Canis lupus familiaris: one gene and its partner. The protein of the gene in region 1 interacts with the protein of each later gene in a pairwise test. Links are inferred from orthologs where the notes say so. Each region holds a gene or a part of one and is shown on either strand. Other genes may lie near its edges.

The links.
Region 2: the proteins of GIT1 (region 1) and PPFIA4 interact in a two-hybrid assay, tested with the Homo sapiens proteins (2 studies listed by BioGRID). The link is inferred for Canis lupus familiaris from reciprocal best matches to the Homo sapiens genes GIT1 and PPFIA4.

Annotation. Positions count from the first base shown.
Region 1 is NC_049230.1:43,652,997-43,659,191, reverse strand, and holds part of GIT1 (ARF GTPase-activating protein GIT1), read left to right. Parts: intron 1-1,363; coding exon 1,364-1,497; intron 1,498-1,980; coding exon 1,981-2,093; intron 2,094-2,214; coding exon 2,215-2,320; intron 2,321-2,865; coding exon 2,866-3,083; intron 3,084-3,168; coding exon 3,169-3,263; intron 3,264-3,598; coding exon 3,599-3,641; intron 3,642-5,616; coding exon 5,617-5,643; intron 5,644-5,818; coding exon 5,819-5,867; intron 5,868-6,195. UniProt on the Homo sapiens protein: GTPase-activating protein for ADP ribosylation factor family members, including ARF1.
Region 2 is NC_049228.1:253,856-260,050, forward strand, and holds part of PPFIA4 (liprin-alpha-4), read right to left. Parts: intron 4,823-6,195; coding exon 4,725-4,822; intron 4,580-4,724; coding exon of another isoform or gene 4,411-4,579; intron 4,120-4,410; coding exon 3,944-4,119; intron 3,186-3,943; exon of another isoform or gene 1,973-3,185; coding exon 1,904-1,972; intron 1-1,903. UniProt on the Homo sapiens protein: May regulate the disassembly of focal adhesions. May localize receptor-like tyrosine phosphatases type 2A at specific sites on the plasma membrane, possibly regulating their interaction with the extracellular environment and their association with substrates.

The sequences.
Region 1 (6,195 bases):
TTCACTTCTTGTTTCTTCCTGTCTCCATAGAGGGAATACTTGCTGTAGGCAGAACTCAGGCTTCACCCTGACTCAATCTCCTTACAGTTCTCCTGGAACTTCTATGGAAGTCCTTCAGGGGAAGGGTCTGGGAATCACCTTCTGGTTGGAGAGACTCTCATTATCCCAAGCCTGTCCCTCCGCTGGGGGGCCCACTTCTGGACTTCCTGAGACTGGGGCAGGGGGCCTGGGCAGAGCACAGTGTCCTGGGAGAGAGGTTCCCTGCCCCCACTCTTGGAGGCACACAATGGCTGCTTTCTCCCCTGTGACCTTTCCACAGCCTGAGCTGTATGCAGCTGTCTCCTCCCCTCTCCCAAGGGGCCGGGGATGGGCGACATCTCCCCTGCCCCTGAGAAGGACCCTATCCTGGCCCCCTCTTCTTGTTTCCAAAGTTTGCTTCTCTCCAAGTAGTGGAGAGTGCCCTCCAGGGCCCTTGCCCACTTGGGGCTTCTTCCTTAGGGGCAGGAGCAGAAGGAGAGCAGTGGGTGTGAACAGGGCACGGTTTCTGGCATCTTGTGCTGGGTCCACATCCCAGCAACCCCACTCACTAGCTTTGTGACCTTGAGCCAGCACTCTAATCTCTCTGAGCCACTGTTTCTCATTGGTATAGCAAGGGTAGCGCTTCCTGCCTTGCCTAACAGTTGTGAGAGACATCGTGCATACAGGCCCAGCTAGTACAGAGTGGGTATCCAGTTTTAGTTCCTTTGCCCTCTCCATCCCAGTTAAGAGGGGTTCCGGCTCAGCCCATCAGTGATGAGGCCAGGAAGCTCAGCATGAGAAGGCCTCTTGCCTGCCAAGACGAGGACAGAGGCAGGAGCCCATGGAAGCATACAGTGGGTCGGGCTGGTGGGCCAGTGGGTCCAGCAGAAGCCTGGGTGCAGGAGGCATGTGGCACTGACCCAGACACAGGAGGGGTACCTAGGGTTGTCTGGCACGCTACAGCAATGTTGCATCCCTTAGGGGATTCCTGCCTCCGGGGGAAGGGCTAGCCAATTGTCTTGTTCCCTGGGAAAGGCTGCAGGACAAGAAGATGTGCCGGCTGAGTAGACCCTGGGGACCACTCCCCCCACTCACCCCTAGACAGGCAGAGATGTGTAGGCAGGGGCACAGCTGCCAGTCACCTGCTGTGAGCCTTTGGGGAAATCCCTCCTACGCCATGGCTCAGCTTCCTCATCAGTAACCTGTGTGCCCTGATGGTCCCAGCTCCTGGGGCTTTGGGAAGCTGAGTAAGGGAACGTGTGAGCATGGTGTGAGCCCAGAGCAGGTGCCCAGGAGACATTGCCTGTGATCTGGCCTTGGCTGACCCTGGTTCCCCCACTGGCAGACCCCGGCTGGGCTTCCATCAGCAGGGGAGTGCTGGTGTGTGACGAGTGCTGCAGTGTGCACCGGAGCCTGGGCCGCCACATTTCCATCGTCAAGCACCTTCGCCACAGCGCCTGGCCTCCCACACTGCTGCAGGTACGGGGCTAGGCCGGGCGGGTCTTCATTCTGCAGAATGTGCTGAGCATGGACACGTTTCCCCCTACACTCACTCTGCTCGGGATTTTGGCAGCTTCCAAAGGGCAGCACTCACCTGGGGCAGAACCTGACTCTGACCCTTTCCGCCCATTATGCTAGCCATGCAGACAGGAGGCTTCTAAGACTGGGGTCTTACAGATCTGGGCACTCACCCCAGCTCTGCCATGTACTAGCTTGGCCATGTAGCACTGAGCAAGTCACTTAACTTCTCTGAGCCTTGGCACGCTTGCTGTGCCACCTGAAGTGCCAAGTGGGACCCACATGCTCGAGTGGCCCACCTAGTTGAAGGTGCACCGGTGGCAGGTACACAGGAGGCCCATTGGTACTGCTTCTAGCTCCGCTGGCTGCAGCCAGCACTTGGAGGGGTTTCCCCCAGTAGCCGGTGCACAGTGGGCACCCTGACTTGGCACCTCTTCCCTGCAGATGGTGCACACGCTCGCCAGCAACGGGGCCAACTCCATCTGGGAGCATTCCCTGCTGGACCCTGCACAAGTGCAGAGTGGCCGGCGCAAAGCCAACCCCCAAGACAAAGTCCAGTGAGTTGGGCCAGAGGGGTGGTGGCAGGGGGTGCATGGTCTGAGATGCGGGTCCAAGAGGTGGACCGGTGACTGGCCTCTCCCGCTCTGCTCACCGTCGCATCCTATGCGCCCTGCCCAGCCCCATCAAGTCAGAATTCATCAGGGCCAAGTACCAGATGCTGGCGTTTGTGCACAAGCTTCCTTGCCGGGACGATGATGGGGTGACTGCCAAAGATCTCAGCAAGGTTGGAGGGGCCCCATGGGGGATGGGTGGGCCTCCTCTCTTGTCACCTGTGACACCCTTTAGGGCCTCTCCTGCATCACCACTGAGCCCTAGGCCTCAAAGGTGTTCAGGTCAGGCAAGAATAGGGGGTACAGCAGGGGGACAAGATTGTGTGGTCAGGTAGCATGTGGTCAAGGCCCCTCAGCTCCCAAGTGGACACAACAGGGCTAAAATCCTCCATCTGCCACTCAAATGCTGTGAAGACTTGGGGCCATTTCTTAGCCACTCAGAGCCTCAGTCTCCTCTGTAAAATGGGAAAGAACGAACAGCATCTCCCTCATAGACAACATCTGTCTCAACCAGAGTTCGCAGCCCAGGTAGCCAGTGACTGATGGCAGCTCTTGTTTGGCATTAACTCCTTGGGGGAAGTCCTCTGTCCTCCCTGACAACCCAACTTCAGCTGGGCCCCTGGAGCTGGTAGGAGTCCCAGCAGCTGCCTGACGTGGTACAGCTTGAGGAGGGGCAGGGCCTCATACACACATCAGTGGCACACTCTGCTCCTTGCAGCAACTGCACTCAAGTGTTCGGACAGGCAACTTGGAGACGTGTCTGCGCTTGCTGTCCCTGGGTGCCCAAGCCAACTTCTTCCATCCAGAGAAGGGCACCACACCTCTGCACGTGGCTGCCAAGGCGGGGCAGACACTGCAGGCTGAGCTGCTCGTGGTGTATGGGGCTGACCCAGGCTCCCCTGATGTGAATGGCCGCACACCCATTGATTATGCCAGGTGAGGGTCAGATGGTGGGTGAGGCTTTGGCGGGTGGGGGTGCTAGGCTGCTGCTGCAGGGCTGAGGCATGCCCCCTCCCCACAGGCAGGCGGGGCACCATGAGCTGGCGGAAAGGCTAGTCGAGTGCCAGTATGAGCTCACTGACCGGTTGGCCTTCTATCTCTGTGGACGCAAGCCGGGTGAGCAGAGCTCCGGGCAGGCCTGGGAGGGCCAGGCAGGTGGGACCCAGACACACCCCAGCAGCAGGTGCCATGGTGACAAAGCTGGCTGGGGAACGGTGTTGCTAGGCAACTGGCTCCTGTGAAATTGATGCAGGCTCTTGGCTACAGCACACTGGGATAGGAGTGGGGGTGGGCACAACTTCAGTCAGCTCCCATGGCTCTTGGGGGTGGCCTGCCCTCCTCCCTGTCCCCTGACACTTCTGGGTGCCAAGCCCTGCTCATGGCAGTGAGATGGGCTCCCAGTTGCCCAGGCCAGCTTGCACCAGTGACTTGGCATTTTTATTTTTGTTCAGATCACAAGAATGGGCATTACATCATCCCACAGATGGCTGACAGGTGAGTGCCCACCTGATGCCCCTTCCCAGAGGCTGTTGGATGCCATGTGGGTGCCTGAGCCCAGAGCTTCCACCCTTCCATCTCCCCAGGCTGTAGGGTCCTCCACTCTCTGGGGGCTGGCATTTCTGCCCAGTCCTCACTCCCCGATGCTGGGCCCCCAGGCAGGTGAGAGATGTCAGCTCAACATATGGCCAGCACAGCCTGAGCCCTATGGCTATCCCACACAGGCTCGAGTACAAGAACACCTGCCCTAGGAGTGGTGGATTGCGGACTTGTTTCCAGTGGCACTCACCCCACTGTACAATCTTTAGACAAACCTCTGTTCTTCGGTGAACAGATGGTGGGCTCCAGGGATTTGACTAACTTCGGGACTGCTGAGCAGGCCTCTGTGGGGTGCTCAGAAATTGTGCAGGGGCTGGGGTGCAGGGCACAGTACTATTGAGGTGTTTCTGCCTCTGATTTGATGATCTCAGGCGCCTAGGCTGTGGGGACCACTCACTCAGCTTACGAGATGGATGCTAGCGCCACCTAGTGGCCACTTCTGATGGCCAAGCCTCGCCAGGCTTTGCCAGCTGGCCTGGGGGTCTGAGAGAGAGGAGGCTCTCTCTTCCTCTCCGAAGGCCAGTGTGGGCAGACAGGGATGGTCAGGCCTAGGCAGCTTGGATCCTTGAACCCAGACCTACTCTGTTCTGAGACGCCGAGCGACCCTCCTGCTTCTCTGGTCTTACTCTGCCTGGTGTGTGTGTTTCAAACACATATCGGCATGTACTCAGTGAAATGGTGACCGAGCTCCGTTCCGGTGCCAGCTACTGTTCTCGGCCCTGAAACACAGAGGTAACTCAGACGTGATCTCTGCCCCAAAGGAGCTTGCAGTATGGAGAGGGAGGCCGCCTACTCAAGACAGCTGTAGTTCCCTGTGGGGAGTACCGCAAGAGAAATAAGGGCATAGATGATATAAGTGGGAAGTGCTGTGCAGGGAACTGCAGGCAGTCTGTGGGGCTGGAGTATAGTGTGAGGAATCCCAGGACAGGACTGGGATAGAAACAGGCGAGAGAATGGCCAGTCCTGTGAGCCCCCACAGGAGTAGACAGGATTCCAAGCACTGATGTGTGGAGTCAGCTCTGCCATTTATTGGCTGTTTGACTTCAGGCAGGCTGCTTGACCTCTCTTAGTTACCTCGTGGCATTGAGGGCAAGAGTTCCTGCCTTTTCTGGGCTGTTGAGAGGATTAAGTAAGATAATGCATGCCAAGCACATAGCATATTGTTTAAGTGAGCTTTTTGTTTAAGTACGGTTAAAGTATACCCCATACACATATTTTGTTATTGAGTTGTTTCTAAGGCCAGGAATAGCATGGCCCAGTGTGTCAGAAACATCACCCCAGCTGCTGGGTGGGAAAGGGGATTGTAGGGGAAGGATCAGAAGTGGGAAGATGGATGAAGAAACTCTAGCAAACAGGCAGCCCTGGGGAGGGGGAGGGGGCGGGGGGGGGTTGTTGCTCAGCGGTTTAGCACCACCTTCAGCCAGGGCGTGATCCTGGAGACCTGGGATCGAGTCTCACATCTGGCTCCCTGCATGGAGCCTGCTTCTCCCTCTGCCTGTGTCTCTGCCTCTCTCTCTCTCTCTCTCTCCCTCTTTGTGTCTCTCATGAATAAATAAATAAAATCTTAAAAAAAACAAAACAAAACAAAACAACTCTGGCAAAGGACTAGGGAAGAGAGACTGAGGGCAGAAGCTGGGGGAAGCTCCACCGGGGCCGGGGACACAGGTGCCCAGGGAGTGGGGCACAGAGGGAGAGAGCAAGCCTGTGGAGGAGCAGGTTGTGGGGGGAGACGAGTTCTGTTGTGTGCACTCTGGGGCTCACGTGTGCACAGAGGTGGGCATGAGTTTGCCCCGGGAAGGCTTGCACTGCCCTGCTCCTGGGTAATTGGTGCCTCTGTCCTGTTCTTTCCTCTGCTGCCTCCCTCTGGACTTAGATCTCGGCAAAAGTGCATGTCTCAGAGGTATATGGTGCCTGCTGCGGGAGCAGGCTCTGGAGGTGGGAGGGCTGGGGGGGGTGTTTGGTGTGCAGCATCTGGGATGTTGTCTTCCTGGGATCCCTGCATGTTCTGGAGTCACAGGCGGGGGCCTGGCCACCTCTAATGTCTGCCCATTCCCATCTCCCTCCTTCATCTACAGCCTAGACCTGTCTGAGTTGGCCAAAGCTGCCAAGAAGAAGCTGCAGGCGGTGAGTCTGCTTGGACAGGCCCCTGATGCTTAGAGCTGTCCCCATTTCTGACCTACACCCCTGCCATTGGTCCCCCTCCCTCCTGCCTTCCTGGCTCCCTCCCTATCCCCTCCCAGCCTTTTGTCTTTGACTCTGGCTCTGCCCTCTGCAGGCTTCAGGGCCCTAGCTTCCCCTCTGATCTATGAGGGCACTAACTGTTCTGACCTGGTCTCTCTCTGTCGTCTCCCACCTTGGAGCTTGACAGAGAGACCCCTGCCTCAGTTTCCAGTTCTGAGAAGGGGCTAGGCAGCACAGGGGACACAAGCCATTTCCCATGTCTTATGACATC
Region 2 (6,195 bases), on another chromosome or scaffold:
ACTGAGAACCAGGACTGAAAGAGGAGGCAGCTGGAGTCAGCTCACAGTTGCTGATGCTGTGCTAGACGGCCAGACAGGAAGCATCTCCCCGGAGCTCTGACCCGCACTGTGCCCACCATCACCAAACCTCACCTCGTTCCCAGAACCTGGCCTTTCCACTGTGAGCTTCCTGCAAGAACCAGTCCTCTGCAGCCCGCACCTCGCTGTATCCCGGAAGTCCGCTGTGCTGCCAAGATGACATCATCGATGACATCATCACCTCAGTAACCCCACCCCAGGGTCCAAAGCCTGAGAGGCTGGCTAGCCCTGTGCACTCCGAGGGGACAGCAGGGTGTCGAGGAGAGAACAGGAACCAGAGGCGGTTCTGTTCCGTCCCTGCTCTGCCGCACATCAGCCTGTGGTACATGCAAGTCCCCTGTGGGCTTAGTCCCTCATCAGCCCGTCAGGTGGGATCATGACCTGGTCCACGTGATGTGTAAAGGGACGTCGGCCACCACTCTACCCCATGCCTGGGCCAATGCCTGGCCCTGAGAGGGCCTTCGAAGAATATTTTTGTAAGGATTGAAGAGATACGTAGATTTCTAATTAGAAAGCACCACGCTAAGATCCATGGGAGTCATTTTTCTAAGCAGCATCAAGAAAACCAAGCTCCTAGGTGTGGGGGCGAGTGAGAGGAGGGTCCACATGGCAGGGGCCCTGGGGAAATCCAGACCTCTGAGAGCGGGGGCAGCCGGTACGGCCACGCTCATGCACGCACGTATATCGCATGTGTGTGTGAAGATCACAGTCTAAATTTCAAGGTACCTCTGAAGAAAACACCCCTCCACGAATTCTGTGTGTTCCCGCGTGTGTCTGGTCTGCTGAAGCAGAACGGCCGGTGCACGGAGGGGCACGTTAGCCCTGTTAAGCCTGGCTAAGAAAGACTAACAGGTCGGTAGCACTGACGGTGTCCCCCAAGCAGGCCCCAAAGTCCAAACAGCGGCGCTGGGCGGGGCAGGGTGTGCAGAAAGGGAAGCTACATAGACCACGGAGATCAGAAGAAACAGACCTGATTGAAGCTGGAGATGCTAAAAATAAATAATCTGGGCTCTTTTTTGACTTGTTTGGAGCCCAGGCGGCCAGCGCTGACCTGATACGCAAAGGTAGACGAGGCTGGTGATGGGAAAGTGAGAAGGGAGCGGAGGGAGGGAGCAGAGGGAGGAGGGCCGAGGAAAGGGCTGCATCCTCGGGCGACAGGCCCAGGGCCTCCCGGGTCCTCCTGGACACAGAGCAGCCTAAACTCAGGGAAAGGCCCCCGAAACCCAGGGGGAAAGGCCGGTTTTTCGTTGACCAGGGGGTCAGGAGAGGAGAACCTTAACGTGGCTTGAAGCTAACTCAAGAGTAGAACCAGGGAGGAAGCCGCGCGCTGCTCATGCATCTGAGCCACGTGCCCCGGTGCGAGCAGGCAGGCCGGTCACTGCAGGGCCTCGGCCAGATGCCACCCCGTGAGCCAGCACGCTCCCACAGCATGGGCATCCTGATAAGCAGGCTGGAGCTGTGCAGTGCCAAGAGCACTGAGACATGGGGTCGGAAATTAAGAAAAAGGCGTGATCTCAAAGCGGTGGCCTCTGTGGGGCACCCGTGACCCTGCGTGCCTAGGAGGGCGGCGGGGCACAGAGTTGGAAGACGCCAGACGCGTGACCCACAGGAGCCTTTGGTTTTTGTGCGAGCAGTTTCATGAGACGTCCCTAGGCCTATTGCCAGGCCTGCCCCTGCGCCTCCCCACCATCATCCCAATTCCCCCCAGCTTCCTCCCTTCGGCCACCGATCTTTGGCCCAAGGAAAGCACAGCTCAGGAATTTCAACCCAACGAACCACCAATGCCCAAACCCCAAGGGCCCCTAATTCACAGCCAAGGACTCACATCATCCAGCTTCCGGTCTGTGCCCAAGGCCAACAGGTTGTTGAACTCTCGTTCCATCACCTGGCGTGCCTGGAGTCCATGGATGCAGAGACGGAGAGATGAGAGGGGTAGAGTTAGTGACCTCTCTGCCAGGCTGCTCCTGTTTCCTCGAGGCCCAAGGGCAGAGATGGAGCTTTCGGTGCATTTAACCCGCAAGCCCCAACGCTGCTCCTTCAGGCAAACCTCAGTGTCCTCTTAGAAGTGGACCTGTCAGCCTTAGGACTCTTTCCTGTGGGGCCCATTAGAAAACTGTAACTTTGCACAAAGTCAGACCACAGAATACGTTTGCACAGGTCACTTACGGGGGGAAAACCCTACATTCTGTGTATATGGGAAAAATCATGCGTCACTACCCTTCTGGAGGGTAAGTGAGCATGGAGACCATGGAAAATAAGGACTTAGTGTATTTAGATGAAAGAAACCTATTTCATAAGGCTCCACATCACAAATTTAAATCAGGAGGATGGCGCAGTCCTACGGCCTGTGGCTCCTGGGCGGACTCGTGCCTATAGGCCTTGACCAAACCTTCCAGGAGCCTAAGTCAGCAGGAGATTTGGGAAACGTCAGAAACAACAAAGTTTTGTAAACGGCCACCAGATACTCTCAACCACAGTTGGTGAAGAATTCCACACCGGGTCGGCTCCCGCCGCCCCTAACAGCTGCGCTAAATGGACCAGGCAGGAAAACCGGAAGGTTCGCAAGCGCCGGAGGGGCCTCCTGCTGCTCTGCAGAGGCGCGGACACGTGTGGACAGGAGACCGACGCTGGAGAAGAACAAGCCCATTTCTGGGTGGAAAACGTTAACCACGGAGCCTCGCAGGAACTGTCAGCATCGAGAAGGTGATTCTCATGAGTGATGCAAGAGGAGGAGCATCGTCCACTTCCAGGCATCCAGATGACACTGCTCCTCCGGTGACCGTCCCCCAAAGCTGTGGGGCGGGCGAGCACGTGCGGGGGAACTGGGGGATCTCAGCTTTGCTTAGGGAATTGAGGATCCATGTTCACTCTGCAGGTCAGCGGGGGGCCCACCGGGCCCGTGTGCCGCCCCGCACCCCCAAAGTACCAGCACGCCCCCAGGTTATGGGCCGACACAGCCTACCCTCACGCAGGCCGAGACACATCTGCTCTCGGAATAGCTTTTGTGGCTCTAGCGGCTGAATTTCAAGAGACCTGACAGCTGCAAACAGTCCAGACGAGGGCGGCTAAACCGATCAGGGCAGGAGGCGCGTCTATATGAGGAAAGCCTAAAAGAATTAGGACCACTCCGTCTGGAGCCCCAAAGGCCTGGGCTCCGCGCAACACAATCAGAGGCGGTGAAATGACAAGAGGTGAGGCCGGGTCAACCCCAATCAGTGTGGAGGAGGCCTGGACGGCGGGAGCCAGCACGACAGGAGGGGCTCCGGGCAACAGGTAGCACTTCCAGCGTCCGCCACCCACAGGAAGTTCAAGAGGCCAAATGTGTAAATTAGCCCAAGGGAGCTCAGGTAGTCCTGGACGACAGCTCCGCAGTGATTATGAAATGGGATTCAAGGAGACATCTCGTCTTCTCAGCTGTGGCAGGGACACAAAGCCCTGGCCCGGGGAGGCTCTGGGCTGTGGCATCTGGTGCAGTGAGCTCTCTCCACCCGCGGGGCCCAGAGGCCTGTCCTTCAGGCGGGGACAGAGGAGACGGCGGGCTCTCGGGTCCCCTCGGGCCCCAGGGCTAGTCCTCCTCTAAGAGCAGTCAGGTCAGAAAAGCAGAGCAAGGAAAGGTCGCCGCAGCGGTCAAAGGTGAAGGTGGGGCTTGTAGAGGGTGAGGGTGCCCACGGCAGCGTGGTCTGGGTGCCTGCCCGTCACGTGTGAAGGACACTTGCTTCCTAGGCGGCTTGGGGGTTCGAGGACATCGTGTCCCCCCGACACAGGCTCTAGCACAGTCCCCCCAACAAATCCCTAGCCTGTGTGTGTGAGCGGGAGGGGGAGAGGGCGGGAGAGTGGGGCGGGGGGACGGGACAGGGCTGCCCACCTGGGTGTTCTGCGTGGGGATCTGCAGGACCAGGGCCAGCGTGTTGTGGTCGAAGTTCTCGTCCAGGGCCAGCAGGGCTCCGTGCACGCCGCTCTCCTGCAGGTTTCCTGCGTAATCCCGGAGCCCAATGGACTGCACCCAGTGCACCACCTGGTCGTTGGTCCAGACGAGCACGTCTGCAGGGCACGGCAAGCAAGGGGCAGGAAGAAGCAACAGGTTCGGCCTGCAGAAGCGGGGCTCCCCGCGCCCAGTGCTCCAGTCCACCCGCTTCCCGTGTCCTCTCCCTCCTCCCCGGCACCCGGGCTCCTGAAGAAGCAGCCCCAGCACCCTCCACCCCTGCCAGACTCCAGGCCAGGTGGCTCTCGGCTTCCCCCGGAGCCCCTGCGGGGGCCGCCTCCTGCCCCTAGGCTGGCACCATCCCCTTCTTTCTCCACCTCCAAAGAGTCTTCTCAGACTTGTCTCCTTACTGCTCAGTGCCGCCCACATCACCAAGCCGCACGACCACCTTCCCACACCCGTCTACAGGACCGGCCTGGGGGTTCACTGTGCTGGTCCAGCCGGTGGCCACTGGCGGGCGGGGTGGGGGGTGCAGCTGACTGGGCAGGAACTGTTTCTTCTCCACCAGATGGCAACACCCTTCGGGCACAGACCATGTCCCTAGGTCTGGAGCTTCCCTGAGACACGGAATGCCTCCCCCGCCCGCCACTCACGCGGGGCAGGGGACGGTGAGGCAGGGGCCTGCCCCCCAAGGCTGCCCCCATGCTGGGCTGGACAAGCTTACCCTTGATCTCATGCTGGCTTTCCTCCCGTCGTCTCTCTAGCTCCTTCCGGTCGTAATTGAGCCTCTTCAGACACATGATGCCGTACTGAAGACTGGTCCTGCAGGCACACAGCCCTGAGCAGAGCCTCAGTGGGGCCACGTCCCTGTCCTCTGCCCCACGTCCAGCGCCAGCCACAACATGTCCAGGCCCATGTCTCCCGGCACACGCTGCACCCCAGCCCACCCCTGCGCCTCCTCCTCCAGGGGCATGCATGGGATTTGGTCCAAGGCTCCTTCCCCTCCACTGCCCACCCCATGTCCTCCCTCTAGGCCGGGTATGGGTCTGATTGTTGGAAGGACAGTTCTCTGAATGAAGCAACATCCCCCCCACTCTTTAGGCACTAGAATGATGCTACAGGTATCTGACTCATAACGATATGATGCTACAGAAAGAGCCCCACAGATATTTCTTTGATTCCCCATTTCACTCAGAGTCCTCACAATGACCTATGTAGGCTACATGATTTGCCTTTGTACACTGACTCCTGTCTGCCTGCAGCACTCCTTCCCCAATCCGTTGCATGACTCACCCCTGTCTCCTTTATGTCTCTCCTTAAATGTCATCTTCTCAATTCATTGGTCACCTTGTCCACCTGATTTAAAGCTGCAATGTCACCCTCATCACCGCAGCCCATATGGCTCATCCCCTTTACCTTGGTCTCATTTTTTCCCCTGGCACTTTTTATCTATTAATATATTAATAGATACATTAATATATCTATTAATATATATATACACACACGATAGATGGATGGGTGGGTGGATGGATGGATGGATAGATCAATAGATAGATGGATGAATGGATGGATGGATGGATCAATAGATGGATGGATGAACGGATGGATGGATGAACAGATGGATGGGTGGATGGAAGGATGGATGGATAGATCAATGGATGGATGGATGGATGCATGGATGCATGGATGGATCAATAGATGGATGGATGAACGGATGGATGGATGGATGGGTGGATGGAAGGATGGATGGATAGATCAATGGATGGATGGATGGATGGATGGATGGACAGATGGATGGATGAACGAATGGATGGATGGATGAACGGATGGATGGATCAATAGATGGATGGATAAATGGGTAGATGGATAGATCGATGGATGGATGGGTGGATGGAAGGATGGATGGATAGATCAATAGATGGATGGATGGATGGATGAATGAATGGATGGATGGATGAACGGATGGATGGATCAATGGATGGATAAATGGGTAGATGGATAGATCGATGGATTGATAGATGAATGGATAGATGGAAGGATGGATGGATAGATGGATGGATGGATGGATGATAGATGAATGGATAGATGGATGGATATATGGATGGATAGATGGAAGGACGGATGGATGGATGGATGGATAGATGAATGGATAGATGGAAGGATGGATGAATGGATAGATGGAAAGACGGATAGAT